Nothobranchius furzeri: one gene and its partner. The protein of the gene in region 1 interacts with the protein of each later gene in a biochemical or structural test. Links are inferred from orthologs where the notes say so. Each region holds a gene or a part of one and is shown in the gene's direction. Other genes may lie near its edges. The genes, in order: akap1b and mycbp.

What was found.
Region 2: the proteins of akap1b (region 1) and mycbp form a complex in vitro, tested with the Homo sapiens proteins (2 studies listed by BioGRID). The link is inferred for Nothobranchius furzeri from reciprocal best matches to the Homo sapiens genes AKAP1 and MYCBP.

The regions. Positions count from the first base shown.
Region 1 is NC_091753.1:61,604,288-61,608,107, forward strand, and holds part of akap1b (A kinase (PRKA) anchor protein 1b), read left to right. Parts: coding exon 1-327; intron 328-749; coding exon 750-874; intron 875-1,057; coding exon 1,058-1,184; intron 1,185-1,264; coding exon 1,265-1,392; intron 1,393-1,481; coding exon 1,482-1,659; intron 1,660-1,733; coding exon 1,734-1,884; intron 1,885-2,039; coding exon 2,040-2,107; intron 2,108-2,789; coding exon 2,790-2,863; intron 2,864-2,953; coding exon 2,954-3,019; intron 3,020-3,820.
Region 2 is NC_091759.1:25,188,285-25,191,587, forward strand, and holds mycbp (C-Myc-binding protein), read left to right. Parts: upstream 1-1,430; 5' UTR 1,431-1,566; coding exon 1,567-1,581; intron 1,582-1,804; coding exon 1,805-1,877; intron 1,878-1,973; coding exon 1,974-2,022; intron 2,023-2,396; coding exon 2,397-2,526; intron 2,527-2,598; coding exon 2,599-2,643; 3' UTR 2,644-2,699; downstream 2,700-3,303. UniProt on the Homo sapiens protein: May control the transcriptional activity of MYC. Stimulates the activation of E box-dependent transcription by MYC.

The DNA.
Region 1 (3,820 bases):
ATCAGGCCTCTCCAGGTCTAAACGTGAAACGTAGAGGCGACGAGGGGACCGTCCTGACCGAAGACTCTGCCTGCAGCACCTGCCACTCTGAGGACGGCGTTAGCCTGGAGGAGCTGCAGAGCGGCGTGTTGGAAAACCAAACGGACGTCCTTCAAGTTACAGACTTGTCGTTGGAAGCCGTGCAGCCGCTGTCGTTGGTGGAGGCCGGCCCAGCAGCCCCAGAGGAGAGCTCTGTGGATGCTGCAGGTGTCCTAAAGAGACTTAACGGGATTGGCTCAAGAAACGGGGCTCATGGGACATGTGAGGTGGACACCGATCAGTCTGGAGGTGAGGCTCGTCCTATGCTAACGGTGAGGGTGTGTGTCCTAGCAGCCTGCTTTAATGTGCTAAAGACGTGGGTCTGCTCTGGAAGTGATCGTACTGAATGTGTTAATCGGGCGACTATGGGCCCAGGTTCTGATCTAGAAGCTTCTGATCTTGTCTGACCCATAACTTCAGAGGGTTTTGCAGCCGGTTTCCTTTTCCGTCTCATCGGGCTTTAGCTGGGGCTTCATAACCCGACGCCCCTCAGGCGGTGGCGGACGTGGTTGTGAAACCTTCTCTTTGCTGGAGGTGACTAGTAGCTGGAGAAAGGGTCGAGGTGGACTGAAGCAGCTGTTGGACACACGGGGCTTCAGAAACGTTACCATGTCATAACAAAGTGTAGATTGTTACTGGTGAAGGTAAAATATTGGATGTGATGTGTCCAGGTTCTGATGTGAACAGTATGGACTCGGTGGACAGCGGCTGCACTATGGGAGCCTGTGAGGGCCAGGGCAACAACGCTGCCTCATCAAACTCTGAACTCGTTATCTGGGAGATTGAGGTGCCAAAGGTGAGTGACCCCGCCCCCGCGTGTCTGTAACGGAGACGCCGCCGGCAGAGAAACCAAACCTGCTTCTGCTGCTCTACGTTTTCTTTGTGGATGTCAGAGGAGTAAAACTGGTGTCGCTGGATTTTCCTCTCATGGTCCAAAGTGGTTGAGGACGGTTCTCATGAGCATTTCTTGCCGTGTCAGCATCTTGTAGGGCGGCTGATCGGGAAGCAGGGGAGATACGTGAGCTTCCTGAAGCAGAACTCTGGAGCAAAGATCTACATCTCCACTCTGCCTTACACACAGGAGTTCCAGATCTGCCACATAGAGGGTGAGTCTGCTGCAAGGCGCCCGTTTGTAGGAAAGGTTCCTCTCGGAGGTGGTTTCTAACGCTGCCTGATCTGTCGCCAGGTGTGCAGCAGCAGGTTGATAAAGCTCTGGCACTGATTGGCAAGAAGTTTAAGGACCTGGACCTGACCAATCTGTACGCACCCCCACCACCCTCACTCTCTCTGCCTTCACTTCCCATGACCTCCTGGGTGAGAAGGAGCTTCTCCGCTACACAGCTGAGTCCTCGTGCTGAGCGCAGGCTTCTGACGCTTTGCTGTTTGACCTCCATGTTTTTCAGCTCCTGCTTCCCAGTGGAGTGACCGTCGAGGTGGTTGTGGTGAACATCGTGTCAGCTGGTCACGTCTTCGTCCAGCAACACACCCACCCCACCTACCACGCCCTAAGAAGTCTGGATCAGCAGATGTTCCTGTGTTACTCCCAGCCGGGTACCCCCGCCCTGCCCTCGCCTGCTGAAGGTAGAACTTTTCTTTGGAACGTCTTCTCTACGGTGGTGAGATCTGTGTCGGAAGTTCTCCTCCTTCTCTTCCAGTTGGTGTTATCTGCGCAGCTCCAGCAGTGGACGGAGCCTGGTGGAGAGCTCAGGTCATCACCTTCTATAAAGACAGCGATGAGGTGGAGATCAGATATGTTGATTACGGAGGCTACGACCGAGTAAAGACCGACTCGCTCCGACAGATCAGGCAAGCGCCCTCCAGCTGACCTGTGGGCGTCTAGCCTTTGGGCTCCTGGTGCTGCAGCTTCATCTGATAACTCTGCACATTCACTTGTTGTGCTTCTAGCCTACTTGTCATCTGTTTCATACACATCAGCAAATAACACGATGCTTTCTCTGCAGGTCAGATTTTGTAACTCTGCCATTTCAAGGTGCAGAAGTTCTGCTCGACAACATCGTCCCTCTTCCAGGTACAGCTTTGTTTTGTTACGTGCTGAGTTTAGAGAGATCTTCTGGCTGTCAGAGTCGGAGACATTTATTTTATTGTTTGTTAAATCAAAGGGCCCCGCCCACTCATTCGCCCTTCCCAGGCAAGGTCAGCAGCACGCCATCACCGCCGTAAACACCATAAACTTCCTCAGATATCGGATTTGCACCAGAATCACCTTGAAACTTGTCCCAGGCCCGGCTTTGTTCCACTGCGACCCCTAACCTGTCAGCAGCCTCAGTCGGCCCTCTGGCCATAAAGACAGCTTGTCAGCATCCCTCACCTCTGGCGTCCGCCAGCAGGTTTGAGGGTTGGTACCGCCCACCCTGACCACACACACTCTTAAAGAAACGTCTGCTGATCTTTGGAGGCGTTGTGCTGGAGTTTCAGCTCCGTACGGGAAACGCTGTCAAACAAACTCACAACATAAAGGAGCTGTTCGGGTCCTTTCTGTAGTCTAGTAGTGGCAGTAGTTGGTCACAGAGGTGCCTGATTTTTTTTTATATATATATTTTTCGCAGCTTTTAGAAATACTTTCGGCTGATGGCCGATACAGAAAGTTTGAACATATCGGTCGGCCTCTAGCGCCGTGTTTAAGAGCAGATCTTTGGTTTTGAGTTCACCTCCGGTGCTGGTTTCATACACACTGATGTGTCATTCATCAGGAGAGGATCGTTTCTCAGCAGAAGCCACGTCGACGCTGGAGGAAATGACCAGAGGCGTGGCTTTACTTGCACAGGTGAGGCTACCTTCAACCCTGCAGCTCTCTCTTCAGAGAACCACCACCAGCTAAAGTCTAATGTCTGTTTCCTCCCTGCTTCCTATAAAGGTCTCAAACTACGACAACAACACGGGCCTACCACTGGTTCATCTGTGGAACATGGTGGGAGATGAGGTATGACGTTTGCATTTACTCTCTGTGTGTGGACTGTAAGAGAGCTGTGCAGGCGAGGGGATCAAGTTCCTCTGGATGTCGTAAAAAGGTTTTCGTTCGTGGTCATGCATACTCTAAAAACCCGTCTGATCACTAAGAACACATGTTAAAATACTTTTCTCTCCCTTGTCTCTACGAGCTCTAAGAACCATATGGGTCTCATTTATGAAGCCGTGTAGAGTCCTCACTAAAAATCTACTTAAGCTCGACACAAAAGCTTATTTATACAAACAAATGTTCTGATTCATAAAACTCTGCTTACGCACAGCTGCACACAATTCCTGCTTTATAAATCACACCTGTCCTAGAAGTGTGCTCAGGTGATTTTTGATCACACCCCACCCTCCGCACACCCACTTATGAGTGTTCTGCATACGAGTAAGCCAGGTAAGTGGCAGCTTTCACAGGTAATCACGGTGACTGCAAGGCCTAAAAACACCATTTCACAGAGACTGACGTTGATGTGCTTGTGGGTGAGCTAGAGGCTTGAGAGTGGTGGAGAGTTTAATGGTGAACGTCAAAAAGAAAACGTAAAAAAGGGTTCGAATGGAGGCAAAGAGGAAGGTGGCAATGTTCATTTCAGTGACGTATGGCATCTTGTACTTGGAGGTGTTAATACGGTGGTTCCCTAAGTGGTGGGGGTACAAATTCAGGAGGAGGAGGGGGGATGAAGTGTTTCTGGCTTCACTTGCACAGTCCTTGGCAACATGCCACCTGTGTGAGGTTGGTGTTTCTACTCTGGCATCAATCCTAACCAAATAA
Region 2 (3,303 bases), on another chromosome or scaffold:
GAACTGAATGGAGGGTTCAAATAAATCAGGAGAGGGAGGGGAGGAATGAGGTAAAGAGAGATGGATTCTATTGACCTTCTCATTAAAAACTGAAGGAGAGAGTTACAGGTTTCTGAAGAGTAAAGATGGATGGGTAAGGAGTCGGGAGGCTGAAAAATGCTGTTCATGATGGAAAATAATGTCTTAGTGTTGCTGGAGTTGGACGAGATGAGACCGGAGTAATACTGTGATTTGGCGTAGGAGATGGAGTCCTTGTAGAGAGAAATCTGAGCAGAATATAAGTCTTTATGGATGGTGAGACCGGTTTTCCTGTAGAGTCTTTCAAGCCTCCGGTTGGCTTTCAATGAGCGTGGGGCAGGGGTGAACCATGGAGCAGACCGAGTGAAATATACAGAGCGGGATTTGATGATAGCAAATGGATTAAGGGTTGAAACCAGACCGTTATTGTACTGAATGACAAGATCATCGGGAGTAGAGGATAAATCTGGGGTCAGGGTGGCAAAGCTGGAGGAATGGGAGGCTAGATCAATGTCCTTAATATTACGAAATGAAATGATACGGGGTGACTTGATGACGGAGAGACGGAGGGGAACAGAAAAGGAGATGAGGAAGTGGTCCGTGAAAGGGAGCGGGTCAGCTGTACAGTTGGAGGGGGTCAGGCCGGAGCAGCAGATTAAATCCAGGGTGTGACCTTTAATGTGAGTGGTGGCAGGCAGAGTTTACAAACTACAGCTAGTTCATCAGAAGCAGATCTTGTTGACAATAAAATGGTAAGTATGGGAAATTTACAGGATAGGGGAAAACGGCTGGAAAGTGGAGTGAAATAAGGGGAGTTTCCTGCCAATACTGACATATTTCATAGCCACGTCTCTAATGTTTCTAAAAAATCAAACCGTATGAAAATCGGTTGAAAACTGAGAAAGTTAAGAGTTGTTTAAATAGTGCACGCACCACTAAACACCACTGTTAGAGGAGGGCCGCTGTCCGAAGTAAGATGGCCGCCGCGAACGGACGTCAGGGTCCATTGACGAACAGCGCGGGTGAGGGATCTAGCTAATATATATGATATCTATGGGTTAAAGCGCCGGACATTCCTGAACTCTGAACCCACGAAGACTGAAGGAACATTTTTTTAATTTAGTGCAATTCGCGTTATTCATGGCTGTACGTTAATCAAATGTACGATAAATCTACTGTAAAGTAAAAAAAAACACGTCCGGACTACGCTAGCAAACTATCGCGCTTTTGGATTTCTTCCATTTAAACAATTTATTTTAAATGTTACCGATATATCAGTTTTTTGTTACCTGGATGTAGAAATAAAAATTCGGCCAATCTGTTTTTTCCCCTTGTGTCACATGACGTAACCAGGAAACATTTATTTTTTTAAAGAGTTAGAAACATTTGTTTAGAGAACTACCAGCGGCATCATTTCCGCTTTACGTGCTGTCATGGCAACAGACCACCTGTTTGTGGACGGAAGTGCGTACAAAACAAGCTGCTGTGTGTTTGGGTCTGGAACCTATCTATTCATCTATCACCAAATTATAGGTTTTAACCGTCTCCATGGCCAACTATAGAGTGAGTAATAAAGAGATAAATATCGTGTTTATCAGAAATGTTTTACATTTTGTTCGTATTTGAGGTTAAACTCACGTAGCGTGTGCTAACTAGTTAGCATCCGGACAGTGAACGCACCATAGGCTCAGATGCTTCTCGTGTTCTGTTTAATGGTGATTTTTCAAACAATAAACGTTCATATTTTAGTTAAAAATTGTTAATGTGACTATTTGTTGGGTTACAGGCGTCCGAGTCAAAGCGAGAACAGTTCAGGAGATACCTCGAACGATCTGGAGTTCTGGACACTTTAACGAGCGGTGGGACATCCTAACGCCCCCTTCTTCCTGTTACCGTCACACACACGCGCTCATTTGTTCAGGTGGCGGGGATTCATGTGTGTTTCTGTTTTGTAGTCTTGGTGGCTCTTTATGAAGAACCAGATAAACCCAACAACGCCCTCGAGTATCCTTCGTTCTAATTATAGAAGATCTGAAGCACTTTTTATTCCAGACTTCAGAAGATTTGAACATTCCAGATTAATCATGTTAACTCGCTATTGCCAGTTATCATTTTCAGCTGAAACTGATTCAGTTGTTGTCCTAAAATAATTATTTTAAACAAAATCTTGTATGTTCTCCATTTTTGTCTCTAAATAGCTAAAATGACATTTGACCCTTCCCAGATTGATTGGCAGCAACAGTTGCTTCTCTAAAGTTGCTGCTGAGGGTTTTCCTCTTTCTCCTTACACACACCTGTATGCTCCGGAGCAGCAGACTGACTAAACTGCATCTTATAGCTCTGACTGACGAGGATCTGGACCTTAACCAGAGACTCAGCTTTATAAAACTCCACCTCGGGACATCGGGTCCAGAACCCAGAGACTCAGAGGCGCTTCGAATGGAGCTGGCTGATCTGCAGCAGAAGTGCAGCCTGCTCATGGAGGAGAACAAGGAGCTGAAGAACAGAGTAAGCATCCACAGGTCAGAGTTCACCCCGGATTCTCCGTCGGGAACGTCTGACGGTTTGTTTGTCTCACAGCTGATGCAGTACGAGACGTCGCCTGAGGAGAGAGCTGGAGTGTAGGACGGCTGCGGTGCTGCTTTTGGGGGTCCCGGGAAATAAAATCATTCATCACTGGCTTTTGTTTTGTGCAGAATGTAAATGTTTTATCATCACATAATCAACGAAGACAAAATCACTGTTCGTTTTTTAAATAACAAAACATTTGATCAGAAATTCATATTTTTTCACTTTTTTTAAAAATTCCATTTAAATTTTTCAGTCTTTCAAACTGAAATCTTCTGCATCAAGTAGAAAAATAGTTTCCATATAAAAACACCAAAACACAAAAGGCCATCAGCCTCTAAAACTGTTTAGGTGGATTAACTCACTGCTGAACTAAAAGTGTTTACATAACAACAGCTGACTGGAACACGAGCGATCGATGATTCGCTTTTCCATCCCTCCGCGTCTCCATCCTGCTGAATCGTTAAATGTCGATCTGGATGTCTGAGGCTGACCTGGAAACGCAGAGACCAGTTTCTCTCAAAGCTTTTGAAACATGACAGAAAACTACATAAAGCATCTTTTCTACTGCAGCCTGTGGTTTTTGTGTTTACATGTACAGAGCTGTGCAAAAGTCTTGATCCAGACCTCATCAGGAACACTTTTCATCAGAGGTTAAAAAGATTCTCCGATAAAAACTGACACTAAGAGAAAAATCAGCCAGAGTTCAAAGAGAGA